Linked DNA regions of Xenopus tropicalis. The protein of the gene in region 1 purifies or fractionates together with the protein of each later gene. This does not show direct contact. Links are inferred from orthologs where the notes say so. Each region holds a gene or a part of one and is shown in the gene's direction. Other genes may lie near its edges.

Region 1 (7,381 bases):
TTCTCTGTATATTTGTATTTATACATATGGGTAGGAGGTGCCATAGTGTTTCCCTCACTATAAGACCATGGCAGTAAGTATAATACCTTGGTCTCTATGAAGAAATAGAAGTTTGTTGCTGAGAGAATCTGTGGAGCAGCTGCACCTTACTGTAACGTTACAATTACAAAGGGGAACTATCCCATTGGTGCCCTGGGAAAGCAATATGGCACCTCCCGCCCGTATGTACATGCAGTGCCCATTCTGTGCCAGTGTAATGCCATTGCCTTTCCTTGTGTTGCAGTTAAAGCTGGAGGACCGCTCGCTGGTGCCCAGGGATGTTGTGCGTCGGATGGGTACAAAGGTAAGTGGCCGTATGAGCTGCACTGTCGGTGCTCCGTATCGCTCCCTCGCTGACCCCCGTCCCGTTGTGCCCCCCCAGGACAGCCAGTGCGGCACGGTGATCGACGTGAACATAGACTGCGTGGTGAAAGTGGTGGGGACCAACTGCTTCCTGCATCCGGTCAACAGTAAGGAGCTGCACCACATCTGGGTGAGATGTCGCCTTGGCAACTGCCGGTTACCGGGCCCCGCAGTGAAATCATTTAGAACCCCACAGGGCCCCTGGCAGTCACAGGGTCTTCCTTTATAGTAATGGCTCTGGGTCATGTGGTTCCATTGAGGGTCCAATCTCTATAGACCCCCGACTGTAATGTTCTGTGTCTTCTATTCATTCTCTTGCATCTTTGTGATTGGCTCCTCTCCTGTTGCCTCTCCAGCCTATCATGTACGGGGATTACATTGCCTACGACTGCTGGCTGGGCAAAGTGTATGATCTGAAGAACCAGGTTGTCCTCAAGCTGTCCAACGGCGCCAGGTATCGGCAGAACCCTCGGCCCATTCTGCAGAGCAGATGTTATAAGGGCACTTCGTTGGGGGTATTAGGGAATAAGCGCTATGGGTGCTTAATGGGTGCTTAATGGGTGCTGTGTGTAGAGAGGGGGAATGAGATTGGGTCGGACTGAACTGGGTTTCTCAGGGATCTTCCTTTTCCTCCCCCGCTTGCTGCAGATGTTCCATGAGCACCGAGGATGCGTCCAAACTGTACGACGTCTGCCCCCACGCCAGCGACTCGGTAACTCTCTCATTTACTTCCTGTTCCTCCGGTATCGCTAGGAGGCGGGGCCAACGGCTCCAAACTGACCAATTCACATCTCTATGTTGTACCTTTAGGGGCTGTTCTTTGATGACTCCTATGGCTTTTACCCTGGGCAAGTACTGATCGGCCCCTCCAAGGTGTTCTCCAGCGTGCAGTGGCTCTCTGGGGTCAAGCCGGTACTGAGTGCCAAGAGCAAGTTTCGCGTGGGGGTGGAAGAGGTAAAGTTCCACTCTCTCCTTCGCTGCAGTTCTGGGGTAACCAAAACGGGTGCCACTGGGGGTGGGTTTGTATCTGGTGTAGGATCGGAGCCCGTACAGCCCGGAGCCATGAAACCAGAGCGAGCCGATCCTTATAGTCTTGGGGCTTTCTTAAGGTCCCCATACACCATAAGATCCGCTCGTTTGGCGATGTCGCCAAGTGAGCGGATCTTCTCCCGATATCCCCACCTACGGGTGGGCAATATGGGGGGAATTTAGGGTAATTGGGGCCAAACAATTGAATTATTACGGCAGGTATAGGCAAAGTCGGTCCGGGGATGGTATCAACGAGCCAATGTGGTCCCCGATCCGACTAGATTTTCTAACCTGCCCGATCAAGATCTGGCCAATTTCAGGTTAGATATGGGTCGGGCATGCCGTCGGTAGTGCCCATACACGGGCCGATTAGCTGCCGAATCTGTCTAAGGGGCCAATATCGGCAGCTAGAATCGGCCCATGGATGGGGACCTTTACTCTTGGTGACTTCTGTTGCCATTTCATTGTGCCCATTGTGCCCCACTCATGAGTTTCCACCTGAAGTCCTTTCCCCCCATACTGTATAGGAAGCTCTCATATACGGTATGGGGGGGGGGGGGCAGTGTGTACCCTAGCTATCCCAATTCCAACCTCACCAGGCCATCCGGCTAATTACCCCCCCACCTGCTCCAAGATACCCCAAGGGGGTGCCCTACCCTAGTGTGGAGCCGTGGCGCTTGCCGTGCTGGACCCTGTAGTGCACTCATGAATAATTACTTTAGCTCATGAATAAGTAATGATTTAGTGGCGACACGGAAGGTCGAAGGTCGGGACCGCCCATGCAGGCGGCACCCGGTGCTTCAGGGAAACGTCTCCCACCCCTTATAGTTTATTTCTGGTGCTTGTAGCCGGTTAATCTCCTGGTAGAGCGCCCGTTTCCTGCTCAGTGTGTGATGCTTACGTATATGTGCGTGTAACACGCGTGTGCGTTCATTCTCCCCCCCGCGTTACAGGTGCAAGTCACTGAATTACGAGTTACTTGGATCACAAAAAGCTTTTGTCTCGGCGGCACCGATTCCATGGACCCCCCACCCGCTGTGATTACTCAGGAGAACCTGTCTAGGTGAGTCCAACCTGAGCCAATGGGGTGGGAGTTTCCAGTGCACCCAAACTGTTCCTCCACTAGAGGGCGATATGGGCAACTCCATGAGCTGCTGTTCTGTTTCCCCTCAGAGTGAAACGACTGGGCTCCTTCGACCACACGCAGAGGCAGCTGGGAGAGCGCTGTCTGTACATCTTCCCCACTAAGGTGGAACCCACCAAAATTCTGTGTGAAAGTCTCGAGAAGAACTGCCTGCTGGGGGAGGTCACCGTCACCAGGAAGGTAGGGCCACTGAAGGCTGCAGAGGTAGCGGCCCAAGCAAAGGGTATTAGCTGGCACTGGCATGGGGGGGTTGTTTATCATGGTAGGAGATGTAACACCTGATTTTCTGTCTCACCATTGGTCCATACACAGCAGGTGGAAAAGCTACGGGAGAAGCAGATAGTCAAGATAATCTCATGTACCCAGGATCCCTCCAACCCTACTGAACTCCTCAAAAAAAACTCCACAGTGCCCCCGTCGTATGAAATACCCACAGCAAGGGCAACCGAGGAAGATCTTGTCTCTGCCAAGCTGGAAGGGGAACCCCCCGAGGAACCGAACGTTCCGGAGTGCCCAACCAAAGAGCAGCCTTTGGGCACCTTCCGGGAAATATTCCAGGGCCTCCAGCTGCATTCCTCGGAACAGGACGCCGACGATGAAGCCGCAGGGGATACCGACGAGACCAGCTCGGTGACTTCCTCGGCCAGTTCTACGGCTTCTTCCCAAAGTGGCAGCGGCGCTGGGCGCAAGAAGAGCATCCCCCTGTCCATCCGGAACCTCAAGAGGAAACATAAGAAGAAGAAAAAGAGCAAAGTATACAGAGAGTTCAAACATGGCGACAGGTTGGTATTAGTAATGGACCCTCCCAGAGTGCCAAGCAAAGGGCAGCTATGTAGCTGCAGCGCCCCCTCTGGTCGTTTTACATTGTCATCTATGGCTGTCCCTGCAGGGTGGCTGTCGAGGTTATAACCACTGTGACCACGGCTGACGTTATGTGGCAAGATGGGAGCGTTGAGACCAACATCCGCTCTAATGAACTGGTACCGATCCAGCATCTGGATAACAACGAGTTCTGCCCCGGGGACTTTGTAGTCGACAAGAGAGGTCAGTAATGTTAGATGCACAGAGACAGAGCAAGGGGCATACGGGCAGATGAGTGGGGCAGAGACAGAGCAGGGGGCATATGGGCAGATGAGTGGGGCAGAGACAGAGCAGGGGCATACGCGCAGATGAGTGGGGCAGAGACAGAGCGAGGGGGCATATGGGCAGATGAGTGGGGCAGAGACAGAGCAGGGGGCATATGGGCAGATGAGTGGGGCAGAGACAGAGCGAGGGGCATATGGGCAGATGAGTGGGGCAGAGACAGAGCAGGGGGCATACGGGCAGATGAATGGGGCAGAGACAGAGCAGGGGGCATACGGGCAGATGAGTGGGGCAGAGACAGAGCAGGGGGCATACGGGCAGATGAGTGGGGCAGAGACAGAGCAGGGGGCATATGGGCAGATGAGTGGGGCAGAGACAGAGCAGGGGGCATACAGGCAGATGAATGGGACAGAGTGAGGGGGGGCAGAGACGGAGTGAGGGGCAGAGACGGAGTGAGGGGCAGAGACGGAGTGAGGGGCAGAGACGGAGTGAGGGGCAGAGACGGAGTGAGGGGCAGAGACGGAGTGAGGGGCAGATGAGTGGGGAGAGTGAGGGGCAAATAACAGTAAATATGTGGGTTTAAGACAAACAGATTTACAGAATGACGCTCTCCGGTTCATCTGAAATAGCCTTTTCCTTCTCTCTCCCCCAACAGCCCACGCTGCCCAGGACCCCAGTATATACGGAGTGGTGCAGTCTGGGGATCACACGGGCCGTACTTGTGTGGTAAAATGGATCAAGCTGAATTTGAATGGGGACGATACGGAGGTGAGTTACGGAATCGCTGTGACCCGACATGTCCCTTCCCTGAGCCAGAACTATATTTTATGGACCGTACGGCACGGGGTTCTGTTATTTCTTTGTGTTCAAAGGTTTTTGTCGATTTACTGATTAGTGGCCGTCCTGCTTCTCTGGGCTGTGCTGGGCCCGCCATGTTGGGCAGGGGTGCAAGACTGTTAGCCGGGTGATACTGTGTGCCCCATCATGCTCTGCTTCAGCCATACACACAAACATGTCTCTTACTGTTTCTCAGCTTGTTGGGGAAGAGGAGGATGTCAGTGTGTATGACATTGTTGACCATCCAGATTTCCGATTCCGAGCCACAGACATAGTGATCCGCATTGGCAACTCTGATCCAGAAGCCTTTCCTGATGCCAGCCAGGTGGGAACTTTTTATTCCAGATGCCGTTACCGGTGGCTGTTACATTTATTTAAGGTGATTAAACCCCCTTTCCCTGTTTTGCAGCCGTCGGTGGGGCAGGTGGCTCGGGTGGACGTGAGCAGCAAAGTCGAAGTGATCTGGGCTGATAATTCCCGGACTATTGTCCTCCCACAGGTAAGTGTGTTGTATAAATATTGGGGCCCACCCCATCTCTGATGTCACAAAGGGGGAGGGGTGTAGCAGGCACACACCCACTGATAGGGGCTGATGGTAGAGGAAGTGGGGAAGGAGGGTGGAAGGAAGAACTCATACTCGCCCTGTGGATATTGGGTCCTGTGGATACTGGGTCCTGTGGGTTACAGGCCGCATTCTCTGTTCTGGAGACTGCTGCACCTACAAATTGTTTCCTTTTGACTCCCCAGCATCTGTATAACGTGGAATCCGAACTGGAGGAATCCTTTTATGACTCCGTGGACAGCAGCTCCAGCGGCGCCTCGTCTGATGAATGGGAGGATGAGAGCGACAGCTGGGAAACGGACAACGGGCTGACGGAAGATGAAATCCCTCGGGCGGCGGGGGGGGAGGAGGCGGCGGCTTCACAGAATGAGACCGCCCCCGCAGAGCCGATGCAGGAACCGGCGCAAGACGAGGCGGAACAGAGCGCTGCATTGGCTGCGGCCGCGGATCTGGGAGTTCTCGGCGTGAAAGTGAATGAGAAAGAAGGGATTGTGAAGAGCTTTAAGGAGCTGAAGGAGGCCATTAAGATCCTGGAGAGCCTGAAGAACATGACGGTAGAACAGCTGCTCACCGGCTCCCCAACCTCCCCCACAGCCGAGCCGGAGAAGTTCACTCGGGAGAAGAAGTTCCTGGATGATATAAAGAAGCTGCAGGAGAACCTCAAGAAAACCCTGGACAATGTGGCCATAGCTGAGGAGGAAAAGATGGAGTCGGCGCCCGAGACTGAGAAGGAGGAGAAAGCTGAAGCGCAGACGCCCGTCCGGTCAGAATGGCCGAGTGACACGCCCGTGTTGTGCCAGCAGAGCGGCGGCAAACCCGGCGTCATCTTCACCAGCGCCAAAGGGGAGGTCTTCTCTGTGCTTGAAACTGCCCCCGGTATGTATCATCGCTTAGTATCTTCCCCCTCCTGGATCACTTCCTGTGCCAGTGCTTACCCACAATCCCGTGCTTCCTCCCCCCTTAGAGAGCCAAGCCTTTAAGAAGCTGGAGTTCCAAGCCCCGGAAGCCAAGAAGTTCTTCAGCACCGTGCGTAAAGAGATGGCTCTGCTGGCGACTTCCCTCCCGGACGGCATCATGGTGAAGACCTTTGAAGACCGAATGGTAAATACCAATTTGTTTGCCCGAGAGTGGGAGCCAAAAAAACCTGTAACTAAAGGGGAACTCCACCCAAACACAACTTACGCTTTTTGAAAAGTAAACATAATGTCAAGCAACTTCACAATATACATCAGTTACAAACATATTCAACATTTCATGACTTAATGTAATAATCTGGTTGGAACAGTTCCCTAAGCCCCACCCCCTGTTCCCTAAGCCCCGCCCCCTGTTCCCTGCTGGTCTGGCCGACTACTTTGTGACTCAAATAAAATGTAACCGTAGTTGCCTGTCCCTCAGCCTGTATCCTCCCAATCCCACAATCCCCTGCACACGTGATGTCAATAAGGAAAGGAACATATATACAGGTATAGGACCCATTATCCAGAATGCTCGGGACCAAGGGTTTGACGGATAAGGGGTCTTTCTGTAATTTGGATCTCCATACTTTAAATCTATTAAAAAAACATTAAAACATAAATTAAACCCAATAGGATTGTTCTGCCCCAATAAGGGGTAATTATATCTTAGTTGGGATCAAGTACAGGTACTGTTTTATTATTACAGAGAAAAGGGAATCATTTAACCATTAAATAAACCCAATAGGGCTGTTCTGCCCCCAATAAGGGGTAATTATATCTTAGTTGGGATCAAGTACAAGTACTGTTTTATTATTACAGAGAAAAGGGAATCATTTAACCATTAAATAAACCCAATAGGGCTGTTCTGCCCCCAATAAGGGGTAATTATATCTTAGTTGGGATCAGGTACAGGTACTGTTTTATTATTACAGAGAAAAGGGAATCATTTAACCATTAAATAAACCCAATAGGGCTGTTCTGCCCCAATAAGGGGTAATTATATCTTAGTTGGGATCAAGTACAGGTACTGTTTTATTATTACAGAGAAAAGGGAATCATTTAACCATTAAATAAACCCAATAGGGCTGTTCTGCCCCAATAAGGGGTAATTATATCTTAGTTGGGATCAAGTACAGGTACTGTTTTATTATTACAGAGAAAAGGGAATCATTTAACCATGAAATAAACCCAATAGGGCTGTTCTGCCCCAATAAGGGGTAATTATATCTTAGTTGGGATCAAGTACAGGTACTGTTTTATTATTACAGAGAAAAGGGAATCATTTAACCATTAAATAAACCCAATAGGGCTGTTCTGCCCCAATAAGGGGTAATTATATCTTAGTTGGGATCAAGTACAGGTACTGTT
Region 2 (7,925 bases), on another chromosome or scaffold:
CAGACGCACCGTGGCCCCCAAGCGTTCCTGCCAGACGCACCGTGGCTCCCAAGCGTTTCCTGCCAGGCGCACCGTGGCTCCCAAGCGTTTCCTGCCAGACACACTGTGGCCCCCAAGCGCACCGTGGCTCCCAAGCGTTTCCTGCCAGACACACTGTGGCCCCCAAGCGTTTCCTGCCAGACGCACCGTGGCCCCCAAGCGTTTCCTGCCAGACGCACCGTGGCTCCCAAGCGTTTCCTGCCAGACACACTGTGGCCCCCAAGCGCACCGTGGCTCCCAAGCGTTTCCTGCCAGACGCACCGTGGCTCCCAAGCGTTTCCTGCCAGACGCACCGTGGCCCCCAAGCGTTTCCTGCCAGACGCACCGTGGCTCCCAAGCGTTTCCTGCCAGACGCACCGTGGCTCCCAAGCGTTTCCTGCCAGACGCACCGTGGCTCCCAAGCGTTTCCTGCCAGGCACGCCGTGGCCCCCAAGCGTTTCCTGCCAGACACACCGTGGCTCCCAAGCGTTTCCTGCCAGACGCACCGTGGCCCCCAAGCGTTTCCTGCCAGGCGCACTGTGGCTCCCAAGCGTTTCCTGCCAGACGCACCGCGGCTCCCAAGCGTTTCCTGCCAGACGCACCGTGGCCCCCAAGCGTTTCCTGCCAGACGCACCGTGGCCCCCAAGCGTTTCCTGCCAGACGCACCGTGGCCCCCAAGCGTTTCCTGCCAGACGCACCGTGGCCCCCAAGCGTTTCCTGCCAGGCGCACCGTGGCTCCCAAGCGTTTCCTGCCAGACGCACCGTGGCTCCCAAGCGTTTCCTGCCAGACGCACCGTGGCCCCCAAGCGTTTCCTGCCAGGACGCACCGTGGCTCCCAAGCGTTTCCTGCCAGACGCACCGTGGCCCCCAAGCGTTTCCTGCCAGACGCACCGTGGCCCCCAAGCGTTTCCTGCCAGACGCACCGTGGCCCCCAAGCGTTTCCTGCCAGACGCACCCGTGGCCCCCAAGCGTTTCCTGCCAGGCGCACCGTGGCTCCCAAGCGTTTCCTGCCAGACGCACCGTGGCCCCCAAGCGTTTCCTGCCAGACGCACCGTGGCTCCCAAGCGTTTCCTGCCAGACGCACCGTGGCCCCCAAGCGTTTCCTGCCAGGCGCACCGTGGCTCCCAAGCGTTTCCTGCCAGACGCACCGTGGCCCCCAAGCGTTTCCTGCCAGACGCACCGTGGCCCCCAAGCGTTTCCTGCCAGACGCACCGTGGCTCCCAAGCGTTTCCTGCCAGACGCACCGTGGCCCCCAAGCGTTTCCTGCCAGGCGCACCGTGGCCCCCAAGCGTTTCCTGCCAGGCGCACCGTGGCCCCCAAGCGTTTCCTGCCAGGCGCACCGTGGCCCCCAAGCGTTTCCTGCCAGACGCACTGTGGCTCCCAAGCGTTTCCTGCCAGACGCACCGTGGCTCCCAAGCGTTCCTGCCAGACGCACCGTGGCTCCCAAGCGTTTCCTGCCAGACGCACTGTGGCTCCCAAGCGTTTCCTGCCAGACGCACCGTGGCTCCCAAGCGTTCCTGCCAGACGCACCGTGGCCCCCAAGCGTTTCCTGCCAGGCGCACTGTGGCCCCCAAGCGTTTCCTGCCAGACGCACCGCGGCTCCCAAGCGTTTCCTGCCAGACGCACCGTGGCCCCCAAGCGTTTCCTGCCAGACGCACTGTGGCCCCCAAGCGTTTCCTGCCAGACGCACTGTGGCCCCCAAGCGTTTCCTGCCAGACGCACTGTGGCTCCCAAGCGTTTCCTGCCAGACGCACCGTGGCCCCCAAGCGTTTCCTGCCAGACGCACCGTGGCCCCCAAGCGTTTCCTGCCAGACGCACTGTGGCCCCCAAGCGTTCCTGCCAGACGCACTGTGGCTCCCAAGCGTTTCCTGCCAGACGCACTGTGGCTCCCAAGCGTTTCCTGCCAGACGCACTGTGGCCCCAAGCGTTTCCTGCCAGACGCACCGTGGCTCCCAAGCGTTTCCTGCCAGACGCACTGTGGCTCCCAAGCGTTTCCTGCCAGACGCACCGTGGCCCCCAAGCGTTTCCTGCCAGACGCACTGTGGCCCCCAAGCGTTTCCTGCCAGACGCACTGTGGCCCCCAAGCGTTTCCTGCCAGACGCACTGTGGCCCCCAAGCGTTTCCTGCCAGACGCACTGTGGCCCCCAAGCGTTTCCTGCCAGACGCACCGTGGCCCCCAAGCGTTTCCTGCCAGGCGCACCGTGGCTCCCAAGCGTTTCCTGCCAGGCGCACTGTGGCTCCCAAGCGTTCCTGCCAGACGCACTGTGGCCCCCAAGCGTTTCCTGCCAGACGCACCGTGGCTCCCAAGCGTTTCCTGCCAGACGCACTGTGGCCCCCAAGCGTTTCCTGCCAGACGCACTGTGGCCCCCAAGCGTTTCCTGCCAGGCTTATATCAGTATGGGGACTGAGGGTGTGAGACTGGGATAGGCCAGCAAATAATAAAAGAACGGAAACTGATATAAATATAAAAACACAAATAATAAAGGAAGACCAACTGCACAGAATGTTACTCTCTGCCTCACACTGGGGAACAGCCCCCCATAACGCACAGTACTGCACACACAATGGGGAAATACTGAGGGGAACTAATGGCTGCTTGTCCCCTAGCGATAGGGAAACCGCTCACTCCTATTGGATAACACTGACCGACGCCACTACGTCATCTCTGCTCGTCGTCACGCCAGTAATGCGGCGACGTGTTGCGTCATTGCGCTTACGTGGAGCATTCCGGTGCGTCTTTACGCTTACGTTATGACGCACCGCAATGCGCTTATGTGATGCGTCATTACGCTTACGTGGAACCGCAATGCTCCTATGTGGTGCGTCATTACGCTTACGTTGGGACGGAATGTGCCTGCCCGTGCGTCAGGACGCATACGTGAGCCGTGACGCCATAGTCTCGCGAGATTATATAGGTAACGGGAGTTGTTTCTGTCAGACAGAGGGGAGGAGTTTGTACTTATTGTGCGGGACGTGTGAGTATCTGCCCGGGACCGTGTGAGGAGCGGGGGGAGTGGCCTGTAACAGCGGGGCTTGTTGGGCGTCTCTTTCCCCCCTGGTACCGACATTACTGTGTCCTGTAACTGTAACTCCCCAACATGTGTCCTGCCCTGTCCCCTACATATGTGGGTACAGCCCCCTGCCTGGGGATATATGTGGGTACAGCCCCCCTGCCTGGGGATATATGTGGGTACAGCCCCCCTGCCTGGGGATATATGTGGGTACAGCCCCCTGCCTGGGGATATATGTGGGTACAGCCCCCTGCCTGGGGATATATGTGGGTACAGCCCCCCTGCCTGGGGATATATGTGGGTACAGCCCCCTGCCTGGGGATATATGTGGGTACAGCCCCCTGCCTGGGGATATATGTGGGTACAGCCCCCTGCCTGGGGATATATGTGGGTACAGCCCCCCTGCCTGGGGATATATGTGGGGTACAGCCCCCTGCCTGGGGATATATGTGGGTACAGCCCCCCTGCCTGGGGATATATGTGGGTACAGCCCCCTGCCTGGGATATATGTGGGTACAGCCCCCCTGCCTGGGGATATATGTGGGTACAGCCCCCCTGCCCTGGGGATATATGTGGGGTACAGCCCCCCTGCCTGGGGATATATGTGGGTACAGCCCCCTGCCTGGGGATATATGTGGGGTACAGCCCCCTGCCTGGGGATATATGTGGGGTACAGCCCCCCTGCCTGGGGATATATGTGGGTACAGCCCCCCTGCCTGGGGGATATATGTGGGTACAGCCCCCCTGCCTGGGGATATATGTGGGGTACAGCCCCTGCCGGGGATATGTGGGGTACGCCCCCTGCCTGGGGATATATGTGGGTACAGCCCCCTGCCTGGGGATATATGTGGGTACAGCCCCCCTGCCTGGGATATATGTGGGTACAGCCCCCCTGCCTGGGGATATATGTGGGTACAGCCCCCCTGCCTGGGGATATATGTGGGTACAGCCCCCCTGCCTGGGGATATATGTGGGTACAGCCCCCTGCCTGGGATAATGGGTAAGCCCCTGGGATATGTGGGTACAGCCCCCCTGCCTGGGGATATATGTGGGTACAGCCCCCCTGCCTGGGGATATATGTGGGTACAGCCCCCCTGCCTGGGGATATATGTGGGTACAGCCCCCCTGCCTGGGGATATATGTGGGTACAGCCCCCCTGCCTGGGATATATGTGGGTACAGCCCCCCTGCCTGGGGATATATGTGGGTACAGCCCCCTGCCTGGGGATATATGTGGGTACAGCCCCCTGCCTGGGATATATGTGGGTACAGCCCCCCTGCCTGGGGATATATGTGGGTACAGCCCCCCTGCCTGGGGATATATGTGGGTACAGCCCCCTGCCTGGGGATATATGTGGGGTACAGCCCCCTGCCTGGGGATATATGTGGGGTACAGCCCCCCTGCCTGGGGATATATGTGGGTTACAGCCCCCTGCCTGGGGAATATTATGTGGGTACAGCCCCCCTGCCTGGGGATATATGTGGGTACAGCCCCCTGCCTGGGGATATATGTGGGTACAGCCCCCTGCCTGGGGATATATGTGGGTACAGCCCCCCTGCCTGGGGATATATGTGGGTACAGCCCCCCTGCCTGGGGATATATGTGGGTACAGCCCCCCTGCCTGGGGATATATGTGGGTACAGCCCCCCTGCCTGGGGATATATGTGGGTACAGCCCCCCTGCCTGGGGATATATGTGGGTACAGCCCCCCTGCCTGGGGATATATGTGGGTACAGCCCCCTGCCTGGGGATATATGTGGGGTACAGCCCCCCTGCCTGGGGATATATGTGGGTACAGCCCCCCTGCCTGGGGATATATGTGGGTACAGCCCCCTGCCTGGGGATATATGTGGGTACAGCCCCCCTGCCTGGGATATATGTGGGTACAGCCCCCCTGCCTGGGGATATATGTGGGTACAGCCCCCCTGCCTGGGGATATATGTGGGGTACAGCCCCCCTGCCTGGGGATATATGTGGGTACAGCCCCCCTGCCTGGGGATATATGTGGGTACAGCCCCCCCTGCCTGGGATATATGTGGGTACAGCCCCCTGCCTGGGGATATATGTGGGTACAGCCCCCCTGCCTGGGGATATATGTGGGTACAGCCCCTGCCTGGGGAATATATGTGGGTACGCCCCCTGCCTGGGGATATATGTGGGTACAGCCCCCCTGCCTGGGGATATATGTGGGTACAGCCCCCTGCCTGGGGATATATGTGGGTACAGCCCCCTGCCTGGGGATATATGTGGGTACAGCCCCCCTGCCTGGGGATATATGTGGGGTACAGCCCCCTGCCTGGGGATATATGTGGGGTACAGCCCCCTGCCTGGGGATATATGTGGGTACAGCCCCCTGCCTGGGGATATATGTGGGTACAGCCCCCTGCCTGGGGATATATGTGGGTACAGCCCCCTGCCTGGGGATATATGTGGGTACAGCCCCCTGCCTGGGATATATGTGGGGTACAGCCCCCTGCCTGGGGATATATGTGGGTACAGCCCCCTGCCTGGGATATATGGCCCCCTGCCGGGGATATATGTGGGTACAGCCCCCCTGCCTGGGGATATATGTGGGTACAGCCCCCCTGCCTGGGGATATATGTGGGGTACAGCCCCCTGCCTGGGGATATATGTGGGTACAGCCCCCTGCCTGGGGATATATGTGGGTACAGCCCCCCTGCCTGGGGATATATGTGGGTACAGCCCCCTGCCTGGGGATATATGTGGGGTACAGCCCCCTGCCTGGGGATATATGTGGGGTACAGCCCCCTGCCTGGGGATATATGTGGGTACAGCCCCCCTGCCTGGGATATATGTGGGGTACAGCCCCCTGCCTGGGGATATATGTGGGGTACAGCCCCCTGCCTGGGGATATATGTGGGTACAGCCCCTGCCTGGGGATATATGTGGGTACAGCCCCCTGCCTGGGGATATATGTGGGTACAGCCCCCCTGCCTGGGGATATATGTGGGGTACAGCCCCCCTGCCTGGGGATATATGTGGGTACAGCCCCTGCCTGGGGATATATGTGGGTACAGCCCCCCTGCCTGGGGATATATGTGGGTACAGCCCCCCTGCCTGGGGATATATGTGGGGTACAGCCCCCCTGCCTGGGGATATATGTGGGGTACAGCCCCCCTGCCTGGGATATATGTGGGTACAGCCCCCCTGCCTGGGGATATATGTGGGGTACAGCCCCCTGCCTGGGGATATATGTGGGTACAGCCCCCCTGCCTGGGGATATATGTGGGTACAGTCCCCTGCCTGGGGATATATGTGGGTACAGCCCCCTGCCTGGGATATATGTGGGTACAGCCCCCCTGCCTGGGGATATATGTGGGTACAGTCCCCTGCCTGGGGATATATGTGGGGTACAGCCCCCCTGCCTGGGGATATATGTGGGTACAGCCCCCTGCCTGGGGATATATGTGGGGTACAGCCCCCTGCCTGGGGATATATGTGGGGTACAGCCCCCTGCCTGGGGATATATGTGGGGTACAGCCCCCTGCCTGGGGATATATGTGGGTACAGCCCCCCTGCCTGGGGATATATGTGGGTACAGCCCCCCTGCCTGGGGATATATGTGGGTACAGCCCCCCTGCCTGGGGATATATGTGGGTACAGCCCCCCTGCCTGGGGATATATGTGGGTACAGCCCCCCTGCCTGGGGATATATGTGGGTACAGCCCCCCTGCCTGGGGATATGTGGGTACAGCCCCCTGCCTGGGGATATATGTGGGTACAGCCCCCTGCCTGGGGATATATGTGGGTACAGCCCCCTGCCTGGGGATATATGTGGGGTACAGCCCCCTGCCTGGGGATATATGTGGGGTACAGCCCCCCTGCCTGGGGATATATGTGGGGGTACAGCCCCCTGCCTGGGGATATATGTGGGGTACAGCCCCCCTGCCTGGGGATATATGTGGGGTACAGCCCCCCTGCCTGGGGATATATGTGGGGTACAGCCCCCTGCCTGGGGATATATGTGGGGTACAGCCCCCTGCCTGGGGATATATGTGGGTACAGCCCCCTGCCTGGGGATATATGTGGGGTACAGCCCCTGCCTGGGGATATATGTGGGTAACAGCCCCCCTGCCTGGGGATATATGTGGGTACAGCCCCCCTGCCTGGGGATATATGTGGGTACAGCCCCCCTGCCTGGGGATATATGTGGGTACAGCCCCCCCTGCCTGGGGATATATGTGGGGTACAGCCCCCCTGCCTGGGGATATATGTGGGTACAGCCCCCCTGCCTGGGGATATGTGGGTACAGCCCCCTGCCTGGGGATATATGTGGGTACAGCCCCCTGCCTGGGGATATATGTGGGTACAGCCCCCTGCCTGGGGATATATGTGGGGTACAGCCCCCTGCCTGGGGATATATGTGGGGTACAGCCCCCTGCCTGGGGATATATGTGGGGTACAGCCCCCTGCCTGGGGATATATGTGGGTACAGCCCCCTGCCTGGGGATATATGTGGGTACAGCCCCCCTGCCTGGGGATATATGTGGGTACAGCCCCCCTGGCCTGGGGATATATGTGGGTACAGCCCCCCTGCCTGGGGATATATGTGGGTACAGCCCCCCTGCCTGGGGATATATGTGGGTACAGCCCCCCTGCCTGGGGATATATGTGGGTACAGCCCCCCTGCCTGGGGATATATGTGGGGTACAGCCCCCCTGCCTGGGGATATATGTGGGGTACAGCCCCCTGCCTGGGGATATATGTGGGTACAGCCCCCTGCCTGGCGGATATATGTGGGTACAGCCCCCTGCCTGGGGATATATGTGGGTACAGCCCCCTGCCTGGGGATATATGTGGGTACAGTCCCCTGCCTGGGGATATATGTGGGTACAGCCCCCCTGCCTGGGGATATATGTGGGTACAGCCCCCCTG

What was found.
Region 2: the proteins of ube2o (region 1) and nap1l4 purify together in Homo sapiens (affinity purification with mass spectrometry; 3 studies listed by BioGRID, with this or other methods). This does not show direct contact. The link is inferred for Xenopus tropicalis from reciprocal best matches to the Homo sapiens genes UBE2O and NAP1L4.

The regions. Positions count from the first base shown.
Region 1 is NC_030686.2:45,259,735-45,267,115, reverse strand, and holds part of ube2o ((E3-independent) E2 ubiquitin-conjugating enzyme), read left to right. Parts: intron 1-283; coding exon 284-343; intron 344-421; coding exon 422-532; intron 533-758; coding exon 759-856; intron 857-1,050; coding exon 1,051-1,114; intron 1,115-1,212; coding exon 1,213-1,356; intron 1,357-2,384; coding exon 2,385-2,494; intron 2,495-2,604; coding exon 2,605-2,755; intron 2,756-2,875; coding exon 2,876-3,357; intron 3,358-3,464; coding exon 3,465-3,619; intron 3,620-4,313; coding exon 4,314-4,426; intron 4,427-4,691; coding exon 4,692-4,820; intron 4,821-4,904; coding exon 4,905-4,994; intron 4,995-5,242; coding exon 5,243-5,933; intron 5,934-6,021; coding exon 6,022-6,158; intron 6,159-7,381. UniProt on the Homo sapiens protein: E2/E3 hybrid ubiquitin-protein ligase that displays both E2 and E3 ligase activities and mediates monoubiquitination of target proteins. Negatively regulates TRAF6-mediated NF-kappa-B activation independently of its E2 activity.
Region 2 is NC_030680.2:168,458-176,382, reverse strand, and holds the start of nap1l4 (nucleosome assembly protein 1-like 4), read left to right. Parts: upstream 1-2,969; 5' UTR 2,970-2,993; intron 2,994-3,057; exon of another isoform or gene 3,058-3,076; intron 3,077-7,925. UniProt on the Homo sapiens protein: Acts as a histone chaperone in nucleosome assembly.